Linked DNA regions of Notamacropus eugenii. The protein of the gene in region 2 purifies or fractionates together with the protein of the main gene of each other region. This does not show direct contact. Links are inferred from orthologs where the notes say so. Each region holds a gene or a part of one and is shown on either strand. Other genes may lie near its edges.

Region 1 (7,359 bases), on a different chromosome or scaffold from region 2:
CTTGCTATTCTGTTGCCCACCAATTCTATTATACCTTAAAAAGGATACCTTGGTTTTGCTTTAAAAGTATACACTGATAATTATTTACGTAAAGCTTATTGAAAAGAATACAACCAACACCCTCAAATCTATCCCTTTGCAAATTAATATGCTAATATTTTTAAGATGGCTATCACCACCAGATTCTAGCCTTGATTTGGACTATCAGAGAAATAACATACTTCACTGGCTTACAGTTTATAAATCTAAAAAAATATTATAGACGACTAAATAACATTGCATTATATTCAAAAGGCACCAATTCAATTTAATGGGTCAGCTGGTTAACTCACTGCGCTATATTGCAGGAGGAAGCAGTTAGGAAGTGACCTTGGGATCCTTACTCTACAGATGTATGAGCAACCCAATTCCTCATCAAAAAAAGACCTATAAAGTTTCTGGAGACTATACAGATTACTCATGCACGTTGAATGCACTTGCTTATACACATTCTGATCTTTTAAACTATACCAGGCATGTGGTTAAAATTTCAAAATTATGGATTGGTTATTTTAAATAAAAGGTTATAAACTAGCACTAAGGACTTGGCAAAGCTTTACCTCTTTCCTTCTAGACTACAGACTTCTACTATATTGCACCAAGCACAATAACAAAACATGATCATACATTAAGTTCTTGATCACACATTCACAGCTGTTTTAAGTGAAAAATTAAATGTTTATTGTTTCTATTTGCTTTGCAAAATTTCACACCATAAAAACTAGAAAAAAAATTCCCACTATTTGTTCTATGGAAAACATACTTTCTAATACTTCTGATTAGTATTAACAAATAACTTAATATACAGAAAAATATGTGTTTTTCTACCTTTTTAATAATAATAATACTGGCCACAGGAAACGTTTTGGGCTTTTTAAAAGTTCCAACATAAATTAAGCTATACTTTGCTTTGGCACTAGCTCCCCCTCCAGACCATACTACTAATGTTGTAACTGCATTTAAGAAACAAACATGCTGCACTCACTGGTTGTACCAAGCCACTGACAAGTACCAAAATTCAACATTTTTCAAAAAATATCACATCAGAGTGCTTGAAATTTAAAAAAAAAAAAACCTGTACCAAAGAACTGCAGAAATTAAACAGAAAGATTCTTATAATCTCATCCATCTTAAACAGAAATGATATGCAGGAAAATACATCTGGACACTTACAAAATGATTTTTCAGTTAAATGCAAAAACTATTAAAAATAGAATCTTTCTACAATTCTACATTTCAATGAAATTAATCTAAATTCACTATTCCAATAAACTAGATTCTATCACTCCGTATAACACTTTCTACTTTTGTTTGCCTAATTCATTGCTTGATCAAAGATAAAGAAAATATTTTTGCATCTGTTTCTGCTATCTATGCAAGTTTCCTTCCAGCTGTTCAGCAAGCTCTTCAATTTAAGAATGCTGAAGTTCTAAAGCTGTAAAAGGAAAATGTTATGCCTCCAAAGCAACTTCAGTAGTTTTTAGATCCTTTTCATTCCTGATTGCCTAAATTCTTGAGAAACTAAACTTCTATGATTCACAATTTCAAATCTGGATTCTCTTAACCTTACCATTAAATGAATTACTCGTAAATCGTTAAGTAAATGCATTTTAATCTCCAAATTTTGTGCGATAATACAAAAGACTGGAGAAGCACTGATATTCACTTTATGGAATAGCTTTTGAAGGAAAAATTACTTTAGCTAAAGTAAAACCATAACTTTTTTCCAGTAAGCATAGAGAACCCCACAGTGCTTAAAAAGATTTAATTGCTTTAACAATATTTTCAACATAATACCTTTTAAAAATGTCACTACTTGAAGAAATCAAATATACAAACTTAACAAGAAAATAAAGAACATCTTTGATGACAAAAAAAACCTATTATGAAACCTACTTCCTTCATCCACTGGCTTTAAGCAAAAAATTAGCCAATTACTTGTGAGTTTATTTAAACTGTAATCGTCCTAAGGAACCCTAAACTGGCAATTGCAGGTCTACCGCTGCCGAATGGAAACTGTGACTTCACTCTCCCCAACTGGCTTAAATATAGTACGTGGAATTTTATGCACCTTTTTTTTAAATTTTCCTACCACCACCACCCCCAAACATAAGACTCAACCCTAAAAAATCAAACCAAGGTTAAACCCAGATGTGGCCAGTGCCGCCCAACTTTAGAGGAGTTTTATGCAGCGGTTCTCGGAGGATGAGCGTGCCAGAAGGTTGCCACCCCCAAAGTGAATTGTCAGTGAATAACAGGTGAAGCACCGGACCGGGCACAGGCTCCCAGGCAGGGCAAACCTCCCCACTAAAGATGATCAGCTCTTCTACCACCACCCCCAGACCTCCAGCATTCACTCAAGTTACCAGCACCTCTCCATTAAAAGGAGGTGGGAGCACCCCTCTTGTAATTAAAGAGAAGGGACTGCTCTCTCCTTCCTCCCCACCTGGGGTGGAGGGGATCTAGGGGCAGATTCACTCCCCCAATTTCCATTCCAAGCCCTGAAAGCTCGCTCGGTGATGCCCACCGGCCCGAGTGCAGGAGCTGAGTGGGAGGTGGAGAAGGGGAGGACGAGGAGCCCCCCCAACCCATCTCCCTTACCCCCTGGGCAGGATGCGCTCCTCCAAGGAGAGCAACAGCGCCCCTCCCGCCCCAGACAGGAGACGCCCCGGCCCCACTCACCCCAGGGCTCCCACACCTGGAGCTCCCAGAGCAGCGCCCCCACCAAGCCCCCAGCTCCTGGGTCCCCCGAGGGATAGAGGAGAAAAGGGGGAGGGGAAATCCTTTCCCCGGCTCCTTCCGGGAACCGCTGTTCGAGAGGCAGCCGCAGGCCCGGGAGGAGAGAAGCGGCCCCAAGTCCTCGGGTTCCCCGGCTCCCCGCGCTTTCCCCGGCGCCAGCCCCAGCCCCGCACGACGCCCCGACGCCCCCTTACCCGTGGAGGGAGGGGAGGAGGGCTCCGGCGGCTCGTCTCCAGCCACCGCCACCTCCGGCCGTCGCTGCCCCGGGCAGGGGGAGTGGGAGTGGGAGGGGTGGTGGCGTGGAGGAGGATGCTACTCCCGACTCGGGGAGCAGAGGAAGAAACGGAAACAGGAACCGCCGCCGCCGCCGTTTAACGGAGCCTTCGGCGCCACTGACCGAGGGGGAGCGCGAGGCGGCGCGAGCTGGGCGGACGCTGACAGCGCAAGCCGGCCACTGGGCGCGCGACCCAGAGCAGCGCGAACCCCATTCCTGGGGGGGGGAAGAAGGGAACGGATGGTGGGGCGGGGGTGGAGTGCGGGAGGTTGGAGAGGCTGGGAGAGCTAGGGGAGGGAAAAAAAACCCTAGGCGAGTCAGCCGGAGATAACGCGCGCACGCGCCGGAGCGGCTCCGACGAGAACGCAGGCTGGGGGAGCCTATGATAGCGCAAGCATGCGCGCGAAAGGGGCGCGCGCCCCTCTCCGTTCAGGGCCCGGCAAGGGTGCGCGTGCGCATGCGCCGGCCGCTGCCACCTACGGCGACCCTGGCATGTGCTGGGGCTTCTACTTCTTCCCCACTGCGTTTTTTTCCTCTTTTTTCCCACTCTCGGGTGGCGCGGCAGCAGCGGGAACATTCACGTCCGAGCCAAGTGGAGAAAATACTCCGAGACATTTCCGCAGTTCATCAGCCACACGTGCGCATGCACGCCTAGCCGAGCTGTAAAGGAATACGCTGTATTCATCCTCTACGAGACTCCCAGAGTACCCAGGAGGCGCGAGGAAAGGCTGCCCTGGGCAAAGCCAGGACTCCCTTGGGAAGGACACGCCGCCTGGGCTTTGCAGTGTTCTTTCCGTCTCCGGAAAATACAGGCACCTCGTGGCTCTGCGGGGAATAGTGGGCTGCTTGACGTACTTTGGCTTGGGCAGTGCTGCATCGGTCCCGCGGGACCCTGGTCCGCCGGCCCGACCACAGCGTGCAGCCTGCATTGCTAGGTGAGACATCCTTCTGCCCTCCCTGGGGTTCCATTGATTTAGAAGTACAATCCGCCCAAGCTCCCCTTCATTGTGCGGAGGCAAAGACGTTTAGGGGACACCTGGTGTGAGTTTCCTTCACGTGCTCAGGAGCTCCCCAGCCTCGCTTGGAAAAGCCCCTGGTAAGGGAGCAGGACCATCGCCACCTCTGGCGCTGCGAAAGGTTAAAACGACGCAGCCTCCACCACGCACACCTAAGGGAAGGGGCATCCTCTTTTCCTACAAAGCTCCCCGCCCACCCAGACATTTAAAAGTCCCGTAGCTGGCAAGTGAAGCGAGCAACTGTTCGCAGCTCCCGAGCCCAGCCGAGTGATGGGCTGCCTCCCCGGTCCAATCCGAGGAGTAGAGCCTGGAGGAGGGGAACTATAACTGCCCAATGAGGGGAAGGATACGAAAAGCGAGGGGTGCGGACCCGACCAATCAGAGAGCGAGAGAGTCTGAGTGGAATGCGACCGGCCCAATCAGAGACCCGGGTACCGTGGTCCTTTTCCAAACTCTGGCCTGCGAGCTCTGGAGTGCAACATCCCTGACTCTCGGAAGGGCAGGGATGAGTTGTAGAAGAGGAGGTCATTCCCTCGCTTTGAAAATGGGAGGCTGCACGATGTGATCAGGGTCGGCGCCCAGCAGAAAGCAGCTCCCTGGAGATGTTAGGTCCATGTGTGTAATCCTTGAAGAAAGGGTGGGCTTCAGATGGAGTGGCCCTCGGGATCAAGCCGCCTGCCTAGTAAGGAGTGTTGGATTCACCCTCCCAAACCTTCATGTGATAATCACACCCCCGGCCTCTAACTTCCAGTGCCTTCCACTAAGTATTTTACAGCCATTTTTAATGAGTTATGATTAAGAGGTGGAGTAACTTCTCCAAGGTTCTTTACAGCCAGAACTGGAATTGTGAAATTTCCAGACTAGCGTCTCGTAGCGCAGCTGGTGCCTCCGGCTACTCCGAGCTGCCAGACTGAATTCCCCACCCTTACTTCTCGTTCTTTAGAGTGGATCTGAGGGGGAGCAATTAAGTCCCTAGGTCTACAATAACCTTTCTAGAAGGCTGAAATGAAATGGTATTCTTTTACCATCCTTGAGAATGGCTGTAAGCCATTCATTAACAAAAGTTTTCCTGTCTGTGCCTCAGTTTTCTTGAAAATTTAGGGGGTGACTTTCCCCTGTTGGAAAAAAAAATGTTGTAACTTATTGCTTTTTGGTTCAATTATATCTTGGTTCACTTCCACAAGCGTTTAATTCCTTTATCTATTGTTTGTGAATTAATTGATCGATTATTTTAATTATAGTTGATTAATTTCTTTGAACGAATGAAGCTTTAAGCGCTTAACTGTGTGAAGAGCACTGTGCTTTTTTTTAATTTAAATTTATTTAAATTTTTTAAAATGACAAAGTCTCTACCCTAAAAAGGGATTTTACAACCTGTTAGAGTTTGAAGGGGGAAGGGGGAAGATGGAATAGAAAGAACCTTCTTGAAAGAAGGTCCAAACAAAGTAAATACTCAAGGAAAATGCCAGGCGGATAGAAAATTTGTCAAAGACAAATGTACATCTGAAGGTAACGTATGTTGCACAAACTTGGACGCTAGGTGGCGCAGAGTGGATAGCGTGCCAGGCATGGAGTCAAGAAGATTCCCTCTTCCTGAGTTCAAATCCGGATTCAGACACTTAATAGTTGTGTGACCCTGGGCAAGTCACTTAACCCCTGTTTGCCTCAATTTCCACATCTATAAAAATGAACAAACCATTTCAGTGTCTTTGACAAAGAAAAGCCCAAAAGGAATCAAGAAGAATTAAAAATGACTAAACAGCTACATGTATACTAAGTAGAAGGTACAAAATGAGGATGAATGTTGGTATAATTCCCATCTCCGTAGCCCTTTAAGGTTATAAAGTTCTCTACATACATTATCTTATTTGAGCCTCACCAGAACCCTGTGTGATAAGAAGTTATTACATTTCAATTAGCTTCTCTTTTACAGAAGAGAAAAAAGTGTCAGAAAAAGAATTCAGAACCTGGCCCTTCCTGACTTCCAATGCACTGCTCTTTCCATTACAGCAAACAGTATTACTACCTCCATATGATTTGAAATTTCCCCAGGGATTTGAGTCTAGGTGTGGCAACTAAATTTCTGTCTAGCAGGGCTGTGCCTAAAAAGGCCTTCTTGAAATATCCCAAAACTTAGTGACTGTTCTCAAATCAAGAGAGGGACAGTTTAGCATAATGGATAGAGAGTAAAACTGGAAGAGGGGTTAGTTTAAGATCCACCTCTGATACATGCTAAGAAAATCTCTTTTCTAGGCAGGCTTTAAAACCATAAGTTGCAAAGAAGGTGCCAACCTAAGTTGGTAGAGGGAGTTTTGAAATTACATACAGTCCTTGTTTCTTCAGTAGAAAAGTAACATTTGAGAAGAAATTTGATTTTTGAAGTTCTCAGTCCAGGAAGCTTTACTTACATAATCCACTTATGACTGCAGTCATACTGACAATAATAATAGCATTTATAAAGCACTTTAAATATTTCATTTATCCTCACAACCACCCTGGAAAGTAGATGCATTTGTTATCATCCCCTATTTACAAATGAAGAAACTGAGACAGGATGGTTAAGTGACTTGCCCAGGGTCTCACAAGTATCCCAAGGCCTAGTCCATCAAATTCTACCTAATGCACCACCTAGCTCCCTTAATACCTCTTCCAAACAACAATCACAACGTTTAAAGTCGCATCTAAGTAACTCTACCAGACAGTAATATTTGCCAGGACCTTCCAACATCTTGTATCTCTTCTTCCTCAGGTCATCCTTTTCTTTTTCTTTCTTTTTCATTTTTATTTTTTGCAGCCCCAAACCTCTCCCTCTAAGAGTCAGCTTGCTATCAGTCTGATTGTCCTAACTAAAGAACCTAAACCAAAATGTGTTTTTTTCTTCTCTTCACTCACATTTTAGCAAATTGTTCAGTATATGTTAATAGCTTGAAATGAAAAAGGATAAAGCTTCCATTGCAGTGGCAAGAAAGTAAGGCTTTCAATCTGTCTTAAAAAGGTACAGTTATACTACCATATCAACCTATTGGTTGTAAACCTTCAACATTTTTCTAATGCTAGAAGTTACTAGCTGATTAACTGCTTGCAACCAAACCACTTAACCAATTCAATAAGAACTTAACCCACCTCCCTTTCCTCAAATCCCACCCAAGTGTAATCATTTAAGGATTTAGTTGAAAGTCTCAGCTAGAAGACTCACGGGGATATTGGATATGGAGGTTTTAATTATATGTAAGTGGCTTTGGTGATCTATATAAGTGAGACTTTAAAAATTCAAATAAGCCTGTATCAGCT
Region 2 (7,724 bases):
AGTCATGAGAACCAACTCTGCTGGAAAAACCCTTCAGCACCATGGGGCATTTATCCCACAGGACATGTGGAAATGGAATCTCTTTCACGCGTGTAAAAATGCAGCATCTTTCCTCCTCCAACACCACTCAGCAAGACCTGCCTTGGAGGGGCGGCTGGCACAAAGGCACTGGCAGGCAGCAGCTGGCCCAGCGGCTGTGGGCAACTGCCGGACAGGAGGCCAAAAGCCTAGGACGTCTGCCCTACTCTCCGTCTCCCGCCTAACAGGATAAGCTGCAGGAAGCGTTTATAGCGAAGCCCATCAAAACTGTGATAAAAAAAGACGTTTGGAGCGCCTTAACGTTCCCATTACTTGCCAGCAGGAGTCCAGAACCTGGAGTTCACCCATTCAGCCTCAGACACCCCGCGGCCCACCCCGGGCCAGCCAGCTCTTTGGAGGCAGTAACAGTCCGTGCCTTCCCCCAGATTCTTGGAAGCATACACGGAATTGTTTGTAAGGGAGCTACACGAATAGCACAGAGCCATTATCGATTATATGAACAGCCAGCAGTAGTTCTTATCAGCTGTCATTATCCCGAGAGGATCAATGTCTCGGCCGAATCCACACAGCCTGGCACTGCTGTCGGGGGCTCGTGCCCTCCCCGGGCAGGGCTCTGAAGGCACCAGCACCGCTCAGGGCGTGGTGCAGGAGGCTGTCTAGTCCTGGCTCTCCTGCCCAGCGGGGGGCTGGCCCGGGGCACCCCGAGGGCTCCGTCCAGGCCAGTCTAGGTCCCACCGGGACAGGGGCCTCCCCGCCAACGCTAACCCGGCGCATCTGACAGGGGGCTCGGGGAACCAGGATGTGGACGCTAGCGCCGGGCCGCATCCCTGAACCCCAAAAAGGAAGTGAGGCACACCGCTCGTTCAAACACCCCCACCTCTCTCACCGGACGGCGGCTGCCTTCCAGGAGGCCGCGCGGGGCCAGCCCGGCCGGGCAGGGGCACGGGGCCGCTGCCAGCACTCACCCACGAGCTCCCCGATCATGAACAGCAGGTAGAGCACCCCCGCCAGGGTCAGCCGGGTCTTCACCTTCCGCAGCCTCAGCAGCTCCCGCTGCCGGCGGCAGCTGTCACAAGGGTCCGCCCTGAAGCCCAGCTGGCCGCCGGGCAGGGGCCCGTCCTGGTCCAGCAGGGAGTCGTCGTCCGGCGGGAAGGCCAGGCGGGGGCCGCTCAGGCCGTCGGGGGGCTCCGGGCCGTCATCGGCCACCACGACGCGGAGCTTGTTGAACCTGGGGAAGTCCTCGTCCCCGACCTCGTCCGAGAAGTCGAAGGCGCTGGTGTCGTTGAGGAACGGGGGCGCGTCGTCCCGCTTCCACCACGAGCGCAGGCGGTGCCACACGCTGGCCCGGGCCATGGCCGGCGCGGCTGGGGCTCGGCTTCACTGGGAGCGGAGGTCTAGGAGGGGCGCGGCCGCCCGAGCCTTCCCATCCTAGGAAAAGGGAGCAAAATCAGAACCAGGGCCGGGCCACCGCGCCCGCGCCCGCCCCGCTCCGCCCCACGGCGCTCGGGGCTCCGGACCCCCCAAGGTGAGGGCGCCCGCGGGGGGCGGCGGCGGCCCCGGGGCACGGGCTCCCGGAGCTCCGCCCGGCCCGGCTGCGGTACCTGGGGCGCCGGCGCGGCGAGCCCTCCTGCCCGACGCCTGCCGCGGAGCCTCGGCGCGGGGGAGAAGGCATCTCCCCGGCCGCCTCGGCCCGCTCCGCCGCCGCGCTCCGCCCTCTGCAGCAAGGTCGGCCGGCGCTCCCGGCTCTCTATCCAGCCCCGGGAGGCAGAAGCGAAGAGGGCACGGCCCACGGGGGCGAGGAAGGGGCGGTGCGGGCACCGCGCGGCCCTGAGCGTCGCGCCGCTCCGCTCCTCTCCGCTCCGCTCCGGGAGCCGGCTCCCCTGGAGGCGGACAGTCTCTGCGCTAGCGCAGCCTCCCGGACCGAGGGCGCCTCCCGGGCGCCTCCCCCGCTCCGCCTCGGCGAGGGGCTGCGCGCGTGCGCGGCAGTCACGGAGCGAGAGCCGCACGAGAGAGGGAGGGGTCTGCACGAGAAGAGGCCGGGGACTGCTGGGCGGAGGCCGCGGGAGGGGGAGCGCGAGCGAGCGCGAGCCCGAGCCCGAGCCCGAGCGCTCTCCCCGCCGTCCCGAGGAACAGGCGCGCTCCCGGCGGGGCCGAGCGCTTTCCCGCCCCGCCCCCTCGCCCCAGGGGGTCTCCCAGCTCGCGGGCTCCGGGGTCCCAGTGCCCCGCGAGTTGCGGCCGCGGAGCGAGGCCTCCCCCAGCCAGGCCGCCGCCGCCAGCCCGTCCGAGCAGCCGGGGCGCCCGCTCCGGGGGGGAGGGCGGGGAGGGTCGGTGTCTGCTGGGTCCTCCGGCCGGCGGCCTCTGGAGCGGCGCCCCCGCCCGCCCCGGCAGTCCCGGTTCGGACCCGTGCGCCCGGATGAGCGCACGTCCTAAGGCGCATCGCTGCCGCCGCGGGCAGGCCTGTCACGGAGCAGGCCCGGAGCTGGCGGAGCCGGCTCGACTGCGGGGGCGACAGGGCCGAGGATGCTCCCTGAGACAGGCCTGCCGGTGACCCTGGGCCAGTCGGCCGACCCCGAGCGTCAGAGGACGGCCGCCCGGGCCTGGCCCCGCCCGCGGGGGAGTGCGGCAGAAATTAAGTTGTCCCCCGTGGAACGCTGTCGTCTCGGGGCGCGGACCCAGCCCTCCCGCGGACGCCCCAAGTAGCGGGGCTTAGGTACGTCGTATGTCGCCCGGAGGTGGGCGCTGCGATTCCCCAAAGCTCTCGTTCCCCTCGGGCTCCCGGCGGACCGCATCTCAGAACCCCCAAAGGGGGGAAGCGGGGAGCCCCCTAAATGCTTGGGGCACCGAGGACGTACGGAGAACCTCCCAGCAGCCCGTCAGAGCCCCTCAGGAAGGGCAGCCCGTTCCGGGGGCTCCCCCTCACGGGGCAGGACCGCCAGGTTCGGGTCCCCCTCCGACCTCGCCCTGCCACGGCCGGCTTTCCATTCGCGTTTCCCTCCTGCTGCCTGCGCCCTAACTTGGAGCTCTGGACCTCGAGCTTACCGGGTGGTGAACCCCCCGAGCGCGGACAGCCGAACCCCAGGGTCCCCGGGCTGGCCGCTGCCAGCGTCCCGAGCGCTGGGCGGCTGAGCCTCCAGCTGGGGTCACGGAGGCAGGAGGTCCAGGAACCTCGGGCAGCCTCTGCTTCCCCTCCAACGAAGCTCTGCTCTGAGTCTGCGAGGATCTGGAGTCTCAGGGCTGGAGAGAGAAGTGAGACCAGGCGGGGCGACTGTTCTGGGAAGGGCACCCCCATCTCCGTGCTCCGTCACCGGGCCCCTCGGAGGCAGCGCACGTCGGTGGGAAACGCTCCGAGGGGCACCCTGGCCTTCCAGCAAGGTCCAGGGGCTCATGCCGACCCCCCGGGATGGGGAACACTCCCCAAACCGCACTGGGGCTCCCCTGTTCAACCCCAAGCCCACTCCTTTACACTGGAACGAAGGCCAGTGAGCTCCTAACAAAGCCAGGGTTCCTATTGCGCAGGTAGGAGCCTTTCTTGATGGTAGATCCAGCATCACACGAGAACACCTGACCTTCCGGAAAACCAGCTCCGATGAGGGAACTTACTGTAGTTCAACAGCCCACAGTGACTTGTTCCCTTCACTAGACTAACCAGAGGGTGCATTTAAATGACAAGAGAGAAGCTCCATCTGTGCAAGTGTAGAGCCCCACCCGTACACAGTGACGGGCACACAGTTAGCACTTAATGTTTACAAAGAGAGAGGTTAGTTCTTGAGCAGTAGCCCCAAGGGTTAATCCCCTTCTGTCAGCCCTCCAACAGAAGGTTGTTTAGGGCCCCTCAGCCTAAACTCTCATCGGAATTATGATCAGAAATTTATCTTAATTTCTGTCTTATCCATGTTTCCCCTTCTTATCATCTTGAGGCCTTCACTGAGCAAAACTGCCATAAGAGCCGGGGGTGTGAGATTTTATTTCACTCCCCCAAAATCTTCAATTCAGGAGCAAGATTGGAAAGGGGTCAGGTGAAGCTGGCAAGCTACGCCTTATTTTCCACTAGCAATCCAAATTCCTTTACTCTCTACACAGTCCAAGCATTTAATCTCTAGTTTTGCCGGGCAAACTCCTATTGATTCACAGCGTTGATGAATGGGGTGTTTAACTGAACATTTTGAGTAACTGAACTTTATCATATCTGGCACACGTGATTTAACCAGTATTCAAACTGGTAACATAACGACATTAAAGAAGAGATATAGACCTCTGCTTGGCTGCTGGACCCTAACTTAGACCATGGGACGTTTCCATTTGATTTGCAGATCAAACCTACTATATGTGCTGTTTCCCCCATCAGTGTGAGCTCCTTGAGAGCAGGGGCTAGCTGACTTTTCTGTGTCTGTTCTCAGCTCTTAGCACTGTGCTTTGCACATACGGAGTACTTGATAAATTCTTCTTTATTCATTCAAAACTAATCAAACTAATTTATCTAGAAAACTCTGTGTGTGTGTGTGAGTGTGTGTGAGTGTGTGACAGAGAGAGACACAGAGACAGAGACAGAGAGATGATGGTGGTGGTGATACAGAATGGATTTGTGACGTCATCAGCATGGTGGACTCCAGGTGTGACTCCTCAATCCATCCAGCAATGCATATCAGCAACTGTGTAGTCTTAGAGAGTTGCCAAAACTGAAATGCTAAACAACATCACATAAATTAATGTGTGTTGGAAGCAGGAGAGAACACAGGTCTTCCTGAAATTAGTTTGCTCTCTCTGATCATTTATGACCAGAACTTCCTAAACTGTCAGTCGCCACTCCAGTACAGCAGATGTGCACAACTTGTAAACATCTTCAGGCTGCAGACAGGTTAGATTAGAGACAGACGGGCTGATGATGGTTGGTTGCTGCAGCTCATGTGACAAACATTAGAGAGTGCACAGTGACAAACCTACATTTTTTGTGGGCCACCCAAATCCTGTGGCAGTTCGCAAATTGGCTGTATGTTGTGCAGGCAGGCCTGCCATATGAGGTCATATAACTGAATATGGGGGTTGTGAAAAATTTGGCAACAATAGAAGATTTCTGAATGCACAACAAAAATGAATTCAAAAGCAGACGTAATGAATCCAAGGCGTTTCTTGCAGCACTTGCCTATGTTGCATTATGGGACTTCACTGCAGTCTCGGTTTGGAACAACATGCACACCTTATACTGCACATGACATCACACCACACAACGCCCATAAACGCTGCCAGAAACAGCTGGGCTTAGGTTTGAGACTACTGTATGTTATGAACTGCAGTGTTTTTACAGTACGTAAAAGTTTTTCTGCTCTTACAGAAACATAATAGTTATGGAAAATAAATACTTTTAATATTTTCCTGCCATCATCCCTCAGCATGTAAGTATCAAGTTAGTATATATTTGGATTGTATTGTGTTAGAATGTATGATTTTAAAATTGCTGTTATCTCCTTCTTTTAGAGAAACATAAGTGTTTAATTGTAGCAAGTAAAGACAAAAACCCTTTAATAATATTTCTCCACTATCACCAATGTAAACGTGAACATCAGTTTTTTAAAGTAAGCACAAACAAATGTAATTTCAGAAACTAAAGCTAGCGTTTATGTAAGAAATTATTGGCAACATTTATTTACATTTTAAGGCAAAAATATTTTTTGGTTATGGATGAGTGGAGAAATTTAGACAGGAGGTAAAAACACTGATGACAGTGTGGCAATCTTCACTTCCAGGTTTTAGTACACCTAAATTGGCAAGAAAAGGAAAATACATCGAATCATGTGACTCTCAAAAGGGCAAAATTTAAATCAATTATTGAAACTGAAAGATGAAATTGTTATATTTTTGACTGAGCAGAAATTTGATTTTGTTAATTTTTTTATGACATTCAAAACTGTGTTGTTGGATATTTAAAAAAACTCAATGATTTAAACATGTTGTTTCAAGGAAAAATTGTAGCATGTTTACGTTAAAAGATAAAATTGAAAGTTTTACTAAAAACGTTAACATGTGGAAGAGTAGGATGAAAAATGGTTCTTTAGAAATGTTTGCAGCTACAGATGATTTTATAATTGAAAATAACCTTCCCAAAGATTTAATTGTAAGAGTTAGAAATGATCATCTGAAGTGCCTGGAGATATAGTTTCAGAAATACTTCCCTTCATATTTTGATTCTAAAAAAACAAGTTGGGTTCATAAACCATACTCAATTGAAATAAAAAAAAATGGTCAGTCATCTGGCATTAAAAATTCAAGGAGAATCTGCTGAATTATCAAGTGGCACAGATTTAAAACTTTTGTATCCTAAAAAATTGTTAAATGAATTTTGGCTTGGGATTAGGACAGAATTTCCAACAATTTCTGATATGGCTCAAAGAGACTTCTGCCATTTTGTACTATGTATTTATGCAAAGCACCATTCTCAGCATTGATGATTATAAAATCAAAATATCAGTCAACTCTGAAAAACATTGAAGATGCTCTACGTCCTGCAGTATCAGATATTTTGCCAAGATTTAATTCTTTATGTAAAATAAACAAGCACGTCCATCTCATTAGTATGCAAATTTGCTTTTGTCTTTAATAAATGGTAAAATTATATGTATACCAAAGAATTGTTTTAAAATAAATTTCTTTATGATTTATTATCAGTAAATGTTTGATTTGTGTACCTGTTGTATATACCTGCAGGGAAAAGGGGTCACGAATGGAAAAAGTTTAAGAGGAACTTTATTTAGAAGGCGACTTGGAAGGTTACAATGTCTCAGGAATATTTTAATTATCGAGCCCAGATGGATTACGTCCTAGACTGGTGCAAGTATTACTAGGTATGAGTACTGAGCCACTAAGGGTGATCTTTACAAGACTGTGAAAACTAGCAAAAGTACCAATGGATTAGAGAGGGTTAGATGTCCAGGTTTTCAAAAAGTGAATAGAATGTGATCTTTATGCCACAGGCTACTGAGCCTGACTTGGATAAATGGGGAAATTCTAGAGAGTCCTCAGGGTATGCTGATAAAGAACCATCTTTCTAGTAACACTTACTGACCATGTGACTATAGGCAAGTCATTCAACCTGTGGTAACTTCCAGGAAACCCTCCAAAAGTCTACACAAGCGATAGAGCAGGTGCTGATCTGTATTGGTTGTGGAAGATTCCTTATTGTAAGTTCCCTATATCAATGCAATCACAGATCCAATCCTAAAAAAGTAATAAAAAAAAAAGATTCTGGAATGCATTATTATTTGTTAAGGTTTATTTCAATTTTTTCCATGAATAAAAATCCAATTTCTCCCTGTCTCATTTCTCCCACTCCCCAGAAGAAAAACAAAACCCTCGAAACCCTTGCATAGTCAAGCAAAATGAACTCCCACATGGTACATGTCCAGTTCTTCACCATTCTGAATCCATCAGGAGATAAGTAGCATGCCCCATAATAGGGTCCCTGGAATCAGTGCAGTGATCAAAGTTTTTAAATCTTTTCAATTTGTTTGTATTTACAATGTTGTACCATAAATTTTCCTCCTGGTTCTACTCATTTCAGTCTGCATCAATTTATACAAATCTTCCCATATTTCTCTGAAACAGTTCCTTTTGTCATTTCTTACTGCATAATAGCATTCAATTATGTTCACATACCCAGTTCAGCCATTCCCCAATTAACTGGCATGTCTTCA
Region 3 (7,670 bases), on a different chromosome or scaffold from region 2:
ATCATATACCTTTATTGAACACTTAAAAGTTTGTTTTCTATGCATGATTTTAATTGAGCCTCAAAAAATTCTGTGAAAAATTACAAATATTATTATAGTACAAATGAGGAAACTGAGGCTCAGAGAAGTTGTGACTTGTCCATTATCATACAGTAAGTAAAGTGTTAAGAGGTAATACTTGAATCCACATTTCCCTGAAGGTAGGCACTATCCACTAAGTCAGGCACTATGCACTAAGTCACTGCACTCCCACTGGAGGTCTTGTAAGGAAATCAGGTCCAGATAGGTGGAACTAGATGTGTCTAAGGATCTTTCCAATTCAGACTGCATGTTTGTGATACATCCATTTTGAACCTCTACTTGCCACTTAAGGCTACAACACAAGGACCTCTGCCAAAATAGTCCCTAAGAAGAATGAACTTATAAAATCCATTAGTAAAACTCATCTCCAGATTCCATGGATGGCAAGTGGAGGAAAAGTTAAAAAAAAAAAGTTCCCTGGAGGAAATATATCTTTATAAGGACTCCCACAGGAATGGGAGTCCTTACAACATTAAGATGAAGACTGACCAACTGCCAATAAATGCTGAGTTATTTTTCCAGAAGTAGTAACAACAAATTATGTATCCATACATCCACAGCTAACTGCAAAATGAATGTCAGGCTGGCCAGGGGTAGGGATACGACCTATAACTTCACAACAGAATTAAACACACTGGCATACAAAATTGCCCCATAAACAACATGTCAATTGAGCAAATTAGTCAAAGAAACATACAATATATTGAACTTTTCTTAAAACCCCACAGAATCCATGGACTTAAGTCAACATCTTGCTCCAAATTGAATCTTAAAAAAAAGTATTATTTTTACCAAATAATGCACAAATTCAATCTTGCAAAATAATTTTATAGGCTAGTTTTCTTACAGGAAATTAGAAACTTTCATTTTTTAAATCATTTCATGAAAAAAATTCTAAAAATATAGGTATCTGCCCTGACAAAATACCTTAAGGCTGAAATTCCACCTCTAACATCCATTCAACTTCCTCCCCCTCTTTTGTATAAACACTTAAATAAACTTTTTTCTACTAAGATAAAACTGACATTTTCCCCATTCCTGAAAGATTTAATCCTCTAAATTCCCCACAATGCAACACCATGACCCTATCATTCAAAGTTTTGATGACACACTTACTATCTTTTTCTTTAGGGGGAAAAACAATGTCTGAACAGGATGAAATATTCAACTATCGTTAAAAAAAAAAAAAAAGCAAGCTTGAGCAGTCAATCAAATGATAGAACAGGCTTGTCTACCGGTCTTATAAAGAGGCTTTTCGACAAAAGACCAGCCAACACCCCCAGGCTGGGGGGTGCTCTGCCCGGGAAGCTGTCAAGTTGCAGGGAGGGACAGACAGACAGGCGTGGCAGGGAGTACCTTGAGCCGTTTGACCACCTCGTCGTTGGTGATCTTGTCGGTGATCTCTTTCACCCCCGGGGGGTAGGTGATTTTTCCATCAGAGCTCACCACGCCACAGAGGGCCGTGGGCGGCTTGGGCTGTGCACTGGGGAAGTCCATCCTGGGGGACAACTTTTCTTCCACGCTCCTCTACCGGCCTCTATCGGTCAGAAAACAAAAGTTCAGCGGGAAATGGACGACTTTCTAACCTCTTTTTCATTTCAAAACCCCTCAAATCAGAAAGGGCCCAGTCTCCGGGGAGGTTGGCACGGAGAGGGATCATGGAGGGGGGAGCTGGGGAGGTGCTCCCCCGTCCTGGCAGGGTCTCTCCCGGGGCCCGGGGCTCAACAACCCCAGAAGGATCTCCTCCCCCTCCTCGGGGCCCCGCGGGGTCTCTCCCTGGCCCCGAGGAGTGCCTGGCCAACGCCTGGAGTTCCTCGGTCCGCATCTCACAATGAAATCCGCACTAAAAACAACCAACGCCCGAAGCCTGGCAGCTCCAGGGGGTGGGGGTGGGGCGGAGAGGACTAGGGGATCCCCCCCTTCCCCGGTCCGGCCCAGCCTCCTGCCGGGGCGACAGCCTCCGGGGAGAAAGCGAGGCCGAGGCCTAGGGGGCTGGGGTTAGGCCGCGGCGCCGGGGCAGCGAGCCCCTGGTGCCCGCTCCGGGCCGCCCCCCGCCCTCGTCCCGGAGCCCCGAGAGGGAGAGAGAAGGAAGGGGACTGAGCCCCCTCCCCCCCCAGGAAGCGGCAGCCGCGGCTCCGCGCTCCCCATGGGGTTCCTTCAACTTGGGCTGAGGAAGCCTCCGTGGCTGCCCTGAGCCTCGCTCGCCCGGCTCGGCGCCACGGAGAGGAGAGGCCTTCCCCTCGGCCCGGGCGCTGCCGCCTTTACCTCGTCCTCATGCGGGCGGGAGGCGCCTGGAGCGCTGGGGTCGCGGTACGCAGGTGGAGCCCAGGCCGCCGCCGCCGCCACCGCCGCCGCCTCTCTTCGGGCTGCACACAAAGCGGCTCCGTGGGTCCTGCCGCGGCCGCCGTCGTTGTCGCCGCCGCCTTCCCCGGAGCGGTGCTGGGGCTGGCGGTGCTGGGGCTGGCAGGGCCGGGGAGGAGAAGCCTCCGCGTCGGCGACGGGAGAGCCGAGCCGAGCGGCAGAGGCGAAGCGAAGAGAGGAGAGCGAGCGAGCGCGCGCTGCGCGGGGAGACACTGCCGCTCTCCGTCGGCCCGAGGAAGGGCAGCCCCGGCCGAGGCCGCTCGCTATGTGTGCATGGAGGAGGAGGGCGTCAGGGCCCGGCGCGGGAGCCCGCCACCGCCTCCGTCAGTCAGTCAGCCCGTCAGCCCGCCCCCGCCCCGGGCCGCCCGCCGAGCCTGGCCGCTCGCACTCAGCCCCGGGGCCCGCGGGTCACGCGGCGGCGGCTGGAGCGGGGCGCGCCTCCCCCTTCCCCACCCTTTACTCCTCCTCCTCCTCCGGAGCAGCCCCGGCAGCGGCCTCGCCCGCTCGGCTGCTCTCCGCCTCTCCTCTCCTCTCCTCCTTCCCCTTCCTTTCTCCCTCCTTCCCTCCCCGCCAGCCCTGCGGACAGCGCCGCCTCCCGATTGGCGCCAAAACCAGCAGCGCCCACAGGCTCGGGAGGAGGAAGCGAGCGGGCCCCGGACTGAGCCCGGCTGGAGCCGAGCAAGGGGCCCCGGGGCCAGCCTCCTGCTCCCCGGGGATGCCTGGGGGGCCCCGCACGCTCCGGAAGCAGGCGCTCACTCATTCACTTGGGCCATGGGCATTTATTAAGCGCCCGCGATGTGCTCCGCGGCGGGGACACAAAAGGACCGCCACAGCTCCTGCCCTCCTAATGGCGGAGGCAAACTTACCCACAGCTCTGTGCCAGGCAGACCGAGCCAGGATGAATGAAGGCCTCGGCGGGGGCGCGGCGGGCTCCAGCTTAGGGGGCGGGGGTCGATGGGATCGCTTCAGAGGGTATTTTCCGGGGAAGACGATGAAGTGCCCCCCACCCTGCAGCCACGTGTGAAGGAAGCGTGCTCCAGCATTTCAGTGATTTCTTTTGAGGAACACCATCCGATGGACCCCCCAGGGAGCATGGAGAACCGTAGCGGTGAATGAAAAGGGTGACAGCGAGGCCGCGGCTACCTCGACTTTTCTGGGATTATTAGGATTGATCTATTTTTCCAAATGCTCTACTTTGGTCTTAAAATTAGACGTACTTGAGCATCTACTCGGTTTGTCCTGGAGAACACAAAGCCGGAGTCATCCTCCCACCTAACACTCATCAGTTTTGATTTTTGAGTGTGCCCAGAGGACAATTCTTTGTTCCTGGCCCTTGAAGGTGGCAGAGAATCATTTTAGATGGTTTTCTGTGCAAACTGCTACATTAACAAGGAAGCACTCATTCTTGAATACTTTTTCCCACGTTTTGGATATGTTCTCCTGTTACATTGTAAATAACTAGGGGATACTATCTTTCTATGTAATTCTTAAACTCAGTAATTTGTATCCTTAAATGAGCAGTCTGAGGTTACAAACTATCTAAATATACACATGAATGTTAAGTTTGATCGTTTAAATGTTAATATGAGGTAACTATGTTATAGATATATGGATATAGAAGAATCTCTCACAGTGCCAAGCAGTTATAAGGTGGTTATCATAAATGACAGTGTGCAAAACTTTTTAAAACCCCCAGCTTTTTTTACCTTGTTGAGCATGTCTCCTAGTAGAGTGAATGAGAAAAAAAATTTAAAAGTATGTTTATATCAAAACTAGACTAATTTAATGATATACCAGATAAAAAAATTTTTAATCCCAAAGTGCTGCCTATTGAAATTGATAAACTGAAGTCATGTTTCTGATCACTTCATTCTTAACATTTATTTACCTTAAACAAATGAGTTGTATTTCTAATTATGAGGAAGAAAATGCGATACTGCAGAAAATAATATGCGATAGAGGAACTGGGTTCAAATTCAACCCCTGTTTTATTACCTATATGACCTTGGATAAGTTTCTTACTCTCCTTGTGTTTTGATTTCCTTGTAGGTGAAATGAAAGAGTTGGACAGAATGGCTTCTGAGATCCCTTACAGCTCTGCATCTATTTCCTATCTTATGAAAATGTGAATCTCTTCTATAACATTTTTAGGCCTATCCGAGATTTATTTTTCTCTTATGCCCTAATTATTGTGAAACTCATTAATGTTTTAATTTCTTCCAGTCTCTTTCCAAGTATTCCTGGAAACCCAGATTTGCTCTCTGGATAATGCATTTAGACACAGTACAGTGGTTGTTGTGTTCGTCCTTTGTTGCCAAAGAAGACCATGCCATCAGAGAAATGATGATATGACAAGGGTGTTAAAAAGTTGTCAGCCAAAATTCACCAATGACTAACAAGTACAGAAAAAAATGAAGTCAGAATCGGTATGATCTGATCTAGACATTAATGACTAATTTTGTTTCATATAGTAACTTAAAGTTTTTCTTTGCATTCTAAGATATTAATCTGCATGCACAGTTAAGTAAAAAAGTATTTATTAAGCACCTGCTATGTGTGTAAGGCACTGTGCTAAGAACAGAGGAAGCTAAGAAAGGCTTCTAAGATCTAAGAAACAAGACAATTCCAGGCTTCACAGAGCTCAAAATCTAATGGAGTAGACAACATGCAAAAACCTATGTGCAAACAAGACATGTCACAAGATAAATTGCAGGTAATCAAAGAGGGAAGGAACTAACCTTAAGGAGGACCAGGAAAGACTTCCCTTAGAAGATGAAATTTTAGCTATGACATGAAGGAAGCCAGGAGGTGGAGGTAAGGAAGGAGAGCATTCCAAGAAGGAGGAAGCTCTGGTGAAAATGCCTGGACTTATAAACTGGAATATCTTGTTGAAAAAAAAAAAGCAAGTTCAGTGTCTCTAGATCAAGGAGTACACCAGAAGAGGCAGGAGTAAGATATAAGAAGACTAGAAAGGCAGGGGGCAGGTTAGGAAGGGTTTTGAACACCAGACAATTTTATATTTGATCCTGGAGGTGATTGGGAACCATTGGAGTTTAATGAGCAGAAGAGTGATATGATCAGACCTGCACTTGCAACTTACTATTTGCTCAACTGTTTAAAAAAAATGGGGATAATAACACCCACCTCACAGGGTTGTTGTGAATATGAAATGTTTATAAAGCACTTAACACAGTGCCCGGCACATAGTGCCTGCCTCTATAAATGTGTATTCCCTTCTCTCTCTCTCTCTCTCTCCCCCTCCTTCCCTCTCTCTCCCCCCCTCTTTCCCTCTCTCTCTCTCTCTCTCTCTCTTTCCCTCTCTCTCCTCCTCCCCCCCACCCCCACCCCCTAGCTGAATGGACAATGGACTGGAATTGAGAAACCAACCAGAAGGCGATTGTAATACTCCAGAAATCAGGTGGTATACCAATATGGAGTCAGTGTTAGAGGAGAGCAGAAGACAGAAGAGAAAGCAGAAACTACTGGACTTAACCTATTGGATCTTGGGGGGAGGGGCGGGGATGATGGCAAGGAGTTGAGGGTGATACCTAGACTGTGAGTCTGGCTGACTGGGAGGATGGCAATTTGCTTAATAATGACAGGGATATTGTGAAGAGAGCAATGTCATCAAAATCTAAGCACAGCTATTTTTCTTCAAATTAAAGAGATAAATGTTTGTATTAGGTATATTTCCTTTCTTAATATAATTTTGACTAAAAGTTCCAAGCCCAGGAGCACTACTCAGCTCTCTCTTATGAACTGTATCATCTCAAAATAGACACTTAGGACAGCCTTTCAATCTACACAGGAAAAAAAGCAAAGTGAAAGAAGAGTCCATGCTGTCCAAATGATGACATACAATTAGATAATCCATTGAGTTAGTATGTATGGATATTCCTTTACACATGTGTGTGCATCAGGTTTTTTTAAGCTGCTCTTAAACAATGAACTGTTCCCACAGTTACATAGAAGGAGGATTCATATAAATCACATTTGGGAAGTTGCATAGCACTACCAGCAATCCCAACCTGCTTAGTGCTGCAAAACAATCTTTTAAAAAACATAAATACTCTCTAATTTTAAAGGCAGGTATTCTGTGGTTCAGGGCCACATAACCTTGCCACAAGAATTTTATGTCCATCTGCAATGTCTGTCCAAGAAATATGTAGTGATGAACCAACTCTGTAGGTTATTCATCCACTGCATATTGTAATCTTAAAATAAGCATTCTTCATTCACTTTGTTTTTCCTGTATAGACAAATAGGCTAAATTCTTTTCAGTGATTATGAATTTCATTTACAAGGCTCTGTGATATTACAGTGCATGAAGTAAACGGTACAATGTCACACAAAGGAGCATCTGGAGGACCTCACCATTAACAGAGAATGCCTCTTCTGTATATAGGGTTGTGGGTCATCTGAAAAAAATTAGAGTTGTGAATCATTCAAATGGTAATGGAGATAACTTGGTGGTTATGAGTAGGCTGCAGAATGTTACCAAAGATGGTTTGTAGTAAATTGGAAAAAGAGGGCTAGAAATTCACTGTTTGATAAAAACTGTTGTTTTATTGTCCCATTGGGGAAACAGTTGGAGGGACAGGCAGTAAGGGCTTATGTAAATAGATTTTTAAAAATTTTCTAACAACAGGAAAATAGTTTAGCAGAAACTAGGTATAAAGCAACATTTCACATTGTATATCAAGTTAAACTCCAAATGGATATATTATTTAGACATAAGAGGTGGTATAAATTAAATAGAAGAGCAAGGAAAGAATTACCTTTCAGATATAAGGATAGAGGAAGAGTTTATGCTTAAGGAACAGGATCACGAAGGGACAATTTTTGAATACATAAAATTTAAAAGTTTTTGTACAAATAAATCTAATGCAATTAAAATAAGAAAGGAAACAGGTTATGGGGGGGGGGAACCTCTGAAATAAGTTTCTTTGATAAGAGTCTCATTTCAAAGATATATGAGGAATGGGTTCAAATTTATAAGAATAAGAGTCATTCCCCAATTGACAAGTGGTCAAATGAACAAAACATTATCAAAGGAATAACTCCAAGATATCAGTAACCATATAAAAATGTATTCCAAATCACTAAAAGTTAGAAAAATGTACTTTAAAATAACTGAGGTTACTGTCATGTACTTCAGATGGACTGGGAGAAAATAGACATTTTTGGAGCTATAAGTTGGTTCCAGCCATTCTAGCAATCAGTTTGGA
Region 4 (8,274 bases), on a different chromosome or scaffold from region 2:
TCGCGCCCCCTGCTGGGAGACAATGGCTTGCATGATGGAAGGGGGTGGGGCAGAGTGAAACGTAGGCTCGTTTTTAGGGGCAGACGCCGTTTTCCTTTCCCTCTTCCTCCCCTGGGCCTCCCTCCCTCCCTGCCTCCCTCGTAGGTTCTTAGAACTATAAATTGGGACTTGAAAAGGACCTCCCCGTTGTACAGGTGAGCAGACTGAGGCCCAGGAAGGCGCTACTTAGTCAATACCTACCCCCTGCCTCAGTTTCCTCATCTGTAAAATCGGGACCGCGCTGCACCAGGCCGTTGTGAACAGCCTCCCTCGGAGGCGGATGAAGCGGGCCGCACACCTGGACGTGAAGGACCGGGACTGAGGGCTAGTGTTATCGTATCACCGTATTCATTATACTATTAAGGGAAGCGCCGACCACAGACCATCCGGGGCTGCCTCGGGACCCCAGAGACCCCGAACGAGGACCCAGGAAGCCCCAGCGCCCCTCCACAGGAGGCTGCGGAACCTGGCTCCGACACGAAGCCCCGAATTCAGAAATGAAGGAGAAAAGAGGCGACCCAGAAAGGATCCTACCATACAGGCGTTGATGCAAACCTGGAAGAAGCGTGACTCCACGACACAAAGGCTCAAAGAAAAACTGGAATTCCTGGGGAAAATAAAGCAAAAATTTAAAAAGGAAAAGATCACTAATAAAACTCCATTGCCTCACAAATAAGAAAACTGAGGTCCGGGAGAGGAATAACTCTTCCAAGCCTGAGTAGTCAGTCTGAGGCAGAGCCAGGTGTCTTGACTCTGTCCTGAGCTCTCTCCCCAATAATGGATCAAACCATCCCCTCTGCCTCCATAAAGATTTCTCCTCTCTTATATCCCCAGCTGCTAACCCTTTAAATAATCCTAAATACTGGGCTGAGGATGAGGAGCTGAGCTCAGCTGAGCTCTAGGTACTTCCCAGTCAAGCGTCCTCCTAAACTAAGTTTCTTCTCCTGTTTTATAACCACCTACTATAGCTGTCCCTATCCCTTTTTTCTCTCCTCCTTCTCCTTGGCTAAAATCTGGTTGCTGTGGACAGATCTAGTCTACAGTGGGCACTAGAATAGTTTCTTTGGGATGCCTAGTTCCCCTTCCTCTGAGCCCTGGTAGCTACCTGATGAGGCTACCTTGTGGACGCACATTTTCCCAGGCAATGAATGGAAAATGTTAGTCATTTAAATTATACAGTGCACTCGTTATCAAAGGAGAAGTCAGGATACCTTCCTTCCAGTCCTGGCTTTGCCACTATGTTTTCTCATCTGTAAAATAGGGGGGAGAGGGTGAACCAGAGATCTCTAATTATCTCTTCTGCCACTTTAGTTTAAGGGTCCCTTCAGTCTTAAGAGCCTGTCAAACATCCTTGGAGCCAAAGGAGCCCTCCTGTTCCCCTAATTATGACTCCTAATTATCCTTCAGCTTCTAGGCCCCACCTGACTGATCCAGACCCATGATTCTTCGTTCTGGGAAAGTGACATTCACGTCTCCCCAACCATTGGGAGACACTGGTGTTCTGGAAGAAGACAGATGGCCCTGTGTCAGTCCATGCTGGCAACTCCAGAGGACAAGGGAGGCTTCAAGGCCACTAGAGAGAAGCTGGGAGTGTGAAGCCAATACTCAAGAGGCCAATGGTGAGGTCCACCTCCCTAATCTGGGGCAATGCCAGGTATTGAATATGGCCCAGGAGTCATCAAGCAAGAGGAAGTGGACAAAGGCATTTGAAGAAGAAGGTGAGGCTTCAGGTTGAAGTTGGGGCAGGGACATGGGGGCTTTGACTAAAAATTAGGCTTCCTGGGGAGGGAGGCTGGGGCTATCAAGAAGGGGCACCCTGGGCTCCCTGCTTCCTTCTCCAGAAAGGCTTCCTTTTCCTTTAGCCCCCCAGGTCCCTTGGAGTCAGCCTACGACCCCAACCCCCTATTTCTCTGTTCCACCAGTGGAGGAGACCTTACCTTGCTCACTGTGAGTACAATACTGCTATACATCTCAGAACCTAAGCAGGGGCAGGGGATGGAAGAAGGTCCCCTATGACATACAAATGGCAGGAATGTAATCAGGGATATCTTTTCATTTGAATTTTTATTACTCTGTATGGTTTTTTAAAAAATTTATTGATACATTTTGTTGCAACACAACAGACTTCTCAATAAACTCTTTTACAAAGGATGTTCCCCAAGAAACAGTTTATCAGTTAACAGGAAAGAACAGAGTGGTGCTAACACTAACCATTGTAATTGACAAAGATTTTGTTTTTTATCTCTTCACGTGAACATCATTTACTTTTCTGAATTTATTGTGTGAGTTCCCATCCTATTCTTGGGACAGAGACAAAAACTGGGTCTGGGACTTCATTGGTGTGGGGAACTCCCAGGTAGGGTAACTCCCTCCACCAGTGTTAGTCAGCACCTTCTCTGCAACTTATGGTTTTAGTAAATTGCCTAAAATACAGAGAGATTAAAATTAGGGTTAGTTACTTGCTCAGGGTCACTCAACCAGTGTCTTTCAGAGGCAGGATATGAACCCAGCTCTTCCTAGATCCAAAGCCTACCCTCTATCCTCCACATGTCCTGTCTAGTCCTTTCTTACTGTGCAGCAATGACCCAATTATATGCATATACTACATGAAAGGCTGGGCTTGGAAGCAGGAACGTTTGGGTTCAAGTCCTTCTTGTGATACATACTAGCTCTGTTACCTTGGATAATTCTGTAGGGTATATGAAGTCATTTGTAATCATAAAGAGAGTTCCCATGCCGAGCAATGCCCATGATGCCTAAATCATTGATCACCAGCTTATTCTGTGCAATCATTAGACCCATAATCTATTTCTGTTTTTTAATCATAAATAATGTCATTATGAAACTGTTGATCACTGACGTTGCAATAAATGACTTAATGTGTGATCTCTAGAATTTGTATCCTAACAGGATATTACTTTAACCCAAATAATAGAGTGCTTTAATGGTGGAATTTCAGTCAGAGTGCTTGGTCGTTAGAGGAGGTATTTTGGGGTTGGAGGATCTTCTCAGTCCAAAGGTCTAAGGAAAGGAATAAAGGCAGCTGTCCAGTCTTTCTTTGACCAGCAGACCAGACATATTGAGCTTTTCTTTCTCCTCTAGCAGCTCCATCACCCCTTGTCCTCTGTACCGAAGGAGACTCTGGCTTCGGAGGCTAAACATCCCTCCAAAGACTCGCAGCATGCCAGATAGTACATTGGTCCTGGAGTTGGTATGTGAATCAAGGCCTTGACCCTTCCCTTGGACCCTGACTTCAGCCTCAGTCCTAGCCAACTGTTGTCTCTTCCTTGTCACTGGCTAGAGCTAAGACCCAGGGGAGGGGTATAGAAGAGCAGGCCTCATTCCCTTCCTCCAGCCCAGTTCCCTCCTCAGGATGATATGCTGGTCTCTTGCTCCCTTCGGGCTCTGCCCGATGCCCACTTCTCCTTCCCTGTGAGATTCCAAGGTATGTATTACAAGGTGAGTAGTGTTGGTCCCAGGGTGGTGGTTATGGATGGTTTGGAGAGAAGCCCTGGAATGTCTGAGCTAGAAGGGACCAGAACTCCTGGTACCTGACAAGTGGGCAGCTGGGCCCAGCCAATGTCTTTGGCTGACAAGTGAAGACACCCTAGTCATTGCTTCCAGTTGGTACCTGCTGTTGGTTCCCAGGTGCAGGGCAAGCTGCGGCCCCACACCCGTGAATTCCTGGAGATCCTGAGTCAGTTCTTCCAGGTACATTTTTTTCCCTCTCCTCCCTCCCCCCACCTCATGGTTCACATTCTGCTATCTGTAAACCAGTCTGACAGAGGGAGGTTGGGGTGGGATGGGTCAGTGAGTTCTACCTTCTAGTTGGAGGGGAAAATCTGAAGGATTTCTGGGTCATCCTAAGGATTACATCTCCTTGCCCCATCTCTAGGAATGCTGAGGGTGAGGAGCAGTCAGACCTTCAGCCCATCCCCCTCATAATTCCCTATTCCCCACCCCCCCCCCCCACTCTAGATCATTATCTTCACCACAGCTAAACGGGACTATGCAGAACCAATCACAGATGTCCTGGATCCCCACAAGAAGTTGATTAGGTGAAGCCACCAACTCCCCACTCTACTTGTTGACCCTTTGGCCCCACTACAACCCGATCCTTTATCCACATAGTCCAGTGGAAAGAGCACTGGACATAGGAGTCAGGCAGGAGGCTGTGTCTTCTCTTGGCTTGGCAACTGACTAGTGTTACTTAGAGCGAGTGACTGCCCCATTCTGAGCCTCTGTTTCCCCCGTTTGTAATATAGGAACAATCATCCTTCCCCTCCCTGCCCAAGGTGAGGTTGTGAGAGTCCTGGAATAAAGTGGCATCCAAACCAAGGGGTGTTTGGAAGTCAGAGGGTGAGGGTTTTGTTTGGTCCCCAGGGGCCGCCTTTTCCAGGATGACTGCATCTGCCTCCAGGGTCACTATGTGAAGGACCTGAAGGTGCTGGGGCAGGACCTGACCCGGACCGTGGTCCTCACTGACTCCCTCAAGGCCTTTCCCTACCAGGTAACAGCCTTCTCCCCTCCACCCCTCACCACCACCATGGACAGATCTGTCTACATGTGGAACAATGAACACTAGTGGAAAGAACCCTGGATCTGGAGCAAAATCAAAGGCTTTTAGGGTTAGGAGAGACCTTAGGTTATCTAGCTAAACCCCAATATTTCATACATTAAAGAAACTGTGATCTACAGAGGGAAAGAAGAAGTCAGGATTTAAACCCAGGTCTTCTGACTCTAAAGGGTTCCCCACCCTTGCTGGAGCATTGGGTTGAATCGAGTTTGATGATCTTCAGTAGGAATAATACACTGGTACAAGATGGAGGAGACCTGCTTAGGCAGCACTTACACTGGGAAGGATCTGGAGAGGTTTAGTGGGCTGTCAGTCAAGCATTTATTAAGCACCTACTATGTGCCAGGCTATTCTAAACAATGGGATTACAAAAAGAGACAAAAGATAGTGCCTGCCATCAGTGAACTCACAGTCTAATAGAAAGTCAACATGAGATAGTAGTATGATATGTCAGGGGAAAAAAAAGACCCTCATGTGTCTTTGAGCTATACCTTCTGCCCTCATCAGAACTCATCTGCAGCATTGCTTTGAATTCTGGGCACCACCATTTAGGGATACCAGTTAAGCTGGAGAGAGTCCAGAGGAGAACAGGTAGAGTGAGAAAGGATCTTCATGTCTTATCAGTTGAAGAAACTGGACATATATAGCCTGAAGAAGACAAGACTGAAGGGGCTGATCCGAGTATTTGGGGGCTGTCATGTAAAGAGGGAATAGTTTATCCTCAGAAGATAGAATCAGGAGGAGTGCTGGAAGTTGAGGATGATTTAGTCTTGAGTTCACCAGGAGCTGTCTAGAATGGAAGGTGACCTGGTTCCTTCTCCTTGTAGGTCTGCAAGCAGATGCTGAAAAACCTGATGTTCTGTGTGGTATTTATAGGGGTTCCTTTAGTATGCGAGATAGAGTGGACAGCTACTGACATCCCTTCCAGCTCTCAGATTCTGTGATACACAGAATCTATCCCAAAAAGGCAGTTGTTCTAAGACTTTTGGTATATTACAAAAAAACTCTGGAAGACAAGATATTCATAGCAGAGCTTCTGTGGTAGGGAAAAATAAACTGCAAACATAACAGATGCCCATCAAATGGGAGATGACTGAACAAATGAACGTATGGAGAATATTATTGTGCTACGAGAAATAACAAAGATAAGGAATTTAGAGAAATGGAAGACCTAAATGAACCCATGCAGAAGAACCAGGAGAACAATGCCTACGATGCTGATGTTAATGAAAACAACAGTAAAGCACTATTCATAATCATTTCAGTGACTAATTTTTGTCCTGGAGAGAAGAGGAGAAGGCATACTTCCATCTTCTTGACAGAAAGGTGGGAGGCTAAGAGTGTCTAAGGGCACCTAAGGGGTGCCAGAGCAGCTAGGGGGTGCAGTGAGTAGAGCTCCTGCTCTGGAATCAGGAAGACTCATCTTCCAGAGTTCAAATCTGACCTCAGACACTTAGTAGCTGTGTGACCCTGGGCAAGTCAGGCCAGACCCTGTCTGCCTCAGTTTCCTCATCTGTAAAATTTGCTGGCAAAGAAAATGGCAAAGCACTCCAGTGTCTTTGCCAAGAAAACCTAAAATGGGGTCACAAAGTCTGACACAACTGAAAAATGGCTGAACAGGGTGGAGGAATATAGTGTCAGCTTCTTTGGGTAGGTTTCGTTTAACTTTGCCTTTGTTCAGTGGTATAGTGGGACTTTTAAGGACAGAAATAAGAGTTGTCTGAGGGGTGGGAGGATGGGTAAGAAAAAAATGAAACAAAATATAAAGGAGTTAGATCAGCTCATCTTAGGAATGAGACCTCATTACCACCATTCACTCATATACAGAGTGGTAACAGTCTGGCCTTTGCTGCCCTCTGGTGGTCATAAAGAGAAAATTGCCTAAACTGGTCAAAGGGAATTATTAGGTGGGAGAAAGATATCCCATCCTTTGCGTGTCTTCCAGATGGACAACCAGCTCTTGATACCCGGATGGCAAGGGGACAGTGAGGACCAGGAGCTATCTAAGCTTCTGCCTTTCCTAGAACGCCTAAGTCACTTGGTAAGGAAATAGTGGGAATGGGACAAAAAGCCCCCTTTGAGGACTTGGCCCAATTTCTCATCCCCTCCCCACTTCACTAACTGGACCTTCTATCTCATAGGTTCCCAACGTGGGAAATACTGCCCCCTGGAAGGCACTGGATGGATGGGGGGGATAGTAGCCTCTGGTGCAACTGGGAGACGTGTTGAATAAAAATAAGGGGGGTGGAAACATAAGGAGAAGAGAGAAGAAAATTTTGAAAAACTGTTCGTACATGTTTTATCTGTGTTGTACAACAGAGTTAAAGTCACAGTGGTTACATTATTTTCCAAATCAACACACAAAGTGCAAGTTATAACCAGTTAGTCAATGGTCAAGTCCATGGACAGGTCTTAACAAACAAGGTTTGGCAGGCAAGCATATTGCAGGTTGTTAGAAGTCCAGCATGCCTTGGCAGGAGTGTGTGTGTGCGTGTGTGTGCGTGTGCGTGTGTGTGCGTGTGTGTGTGTGTGTGTGATGACTTGTTTATATTTCGATACTATATGGTTATATTATGTCATCAAAATTTCAATGTGGGAAAAAACCACAAATTTACGATAAATTATTACATTTAAGATGCATCATTTTAAAATATATGTATGTTATATTTTTTTAAATGATGAAATTTCAAAAAAAAAACTGTTAAAGGGTTAAAGAAAGTAGATTTTCAGGGGTCTCTGAGTAATTTTTTTTAAGGGGCAGTAGGCCAAATAAGTTTGGGGACCTCTGTTCTATCTTCTCACTGATTCCCTAACCATCCAGTCTTTATCCTCCATCCAGTGCCTCTCCTCTATACGTTGTCCCATAGGATGATGTCCGACCAGAGCTCTGGAGCGTCCGCCCTACCCTGAGCACAGAGGAATGAAGCAGGCCTCCCTTCCCTGAGAAGGTATGTGTGCATCTGGAGACACCCCTCCTCCTCCAGTTGCCCCCAACCCCTCAAGATACAGACCTCTGGTGGAAAGAAAACAATTTTTTCTTGGGTTTGGTTGTGCTCAGTCTAGGTTCAGGTGTAGGGCTCCAGCGAAATCAGGTAGTGAGACCAAGGGAAATCAGACATCTTCACTAAGAAATGAAATATACTGCTTTATCTTCTGTCCCCTTCCCTGTATTTTCTTAGAGGAACACAGGCTGGGGCTAGGGAGGTGTGGTGAATAGTGGTGGGGGCTGAGCCAATGCTGGGGTTTTCACCTGGGCGGGCACTCCTCTATTATGCTTTGTTTTATCTCATCTAGCAAACATGGCAGAAGAAGGTGGGTGCTTTCATTTGGCTCTAGGTCATAGGATATATTACTGGGTCCAGGGTCTTGTCCCTCTGTGATGAGTCAGGGTTTGTCAGAAAGCTCGAGGTAGAAGAACTTATAGAAACATAAAACCATATCCAGGTGGAAGAGGAACTTAGTGCATCCTCTTCCTTTTATAGAAAAAGGCAGTGACTTGCCTTTGATCACTAAGCTCTTCCATGACAGAACCAGTACTTGAACCCAGGGTTTTCTCAAGGGACACATTTTTTCCATCAGGGTAGGGGAGCTACACCTGGGCCAGTTGTGTTCTACGACCCACAACCTTGATTTGTTTTGTCCACTGCAGGCAGATGCTG

Evidence for each region.
Region 1: the proteins of SLC30A4 (region 2) and FUT8 purify together in Homo sapiens (co-immunoprecipitation; 3 studies listed by BioGRID and IntAct, with this or other methods). This does not show direct contact. The link is inferred for Notamacropus eugenii from reciprocal best matches to the Homo sapiens genes SLC30A4 and FUT8.
Region 3: the proteins of SLC30A4 (region 2) and PDS5A purify together in Homo sapiens (affinity purification with mass spectrometry; 3 studies listed by BioGRID and IntAct, counting the BioPlex papers as one, with this or other methods). This does not show direct contact. The link is inferred for Notamacropus eugenii from reciprocal best matches to the Homo sapiens genes SLC30A4 and PDS5A.
Region 4: the proteins of SLC30A4 (region 2) and C4H19orf25 purify together in Homo sapiens (affinity purification with mass spectrometry; 3 studies listed by BioGRID and IntAct, counting the BioPlex papers as one, with this or other methods). This does not show direct contact. The link is inferred for Notamacropus eugenii from reciprocal best matches to the Homo sapiens genes SLC30A4 and C19orf25.

The regions. Positions count from the first base shown.
Region 1 is NC_092872.1:315,613,128-315,620,486, forward strand, and holds the start of FUT8 (alpha-(1,6)-fucosyltransferase), read right to left. Parts: upstream 3,114-7,359; 5' UTR 2,973-3,113; intron 1-2,972. UniProt on the Homo sapiens protein: Catalyzes the addition of fucose in alpha 1-6 linkage to the first GlcNAc residue, next to the peptide chains in N-glycans.
Region 2 is NC_092878.1:52,001,102-52,008,825, reverse strand, and holds the start of SLC30A4 (probable proton-coupled zinc antiporter SLC30A4), read right to left. Parts: upstream 3,183-7,724; 5' UTR 3,079-3,182; intron 1,765-3,078; exon of another isoform or gene 1,641-1,764; intron 1,468-1,640; 5' UTR 1,393-1,467; coding exon 1,005-1,392; intron 1-1,004. UniProt on the Homo sapiens protein: Probable proton-coupled zinc ion antiporter mediating zinc import from cytoplasm potentially into the endocytic compartment. Controls zinc deposition in milk.
Region 3 is NC_092877.1:94,007,515-94,015,184, forward strand, and holds the start of PDS5A (sister chromatid cohesion protein PDS5 homolog A), read right to left. Parts: upstream 3,330-7,670; 5' UTR 3,309-3,329; intron 2,490-3,308; exon of another isoform or gene 2,347-2,489; intron 1,619-2,346; 5' UTR 1,579-1,618; coding exon 1,438-1,578; intron 1-1,437. UniProt on the Homo sapiens protein: Probable regulator of sister chromatid cohesion in mitosis which may stabilize cohesin complex association with chromatin. May couple sister chromatid cohesion during mitosis to DNA replication.
Region 4 is NC_092875.1:62,827,646-62,835,919, forward strand, and holds the start of C4H19orf25 (UPF0449 protein C19orf25 homolog), read right to left. Parts: upstream 3,223-8,274; coding exon 3,111-3,222; intron 1-3,110. Other genes in the region: CTD small phosphatase-like protein 2, read left to right, coding at 3,418-3,498, 3,688-3,750, 4,018-4,097, 4,423-4,549, 6,561-6,656, 7,483-7,539.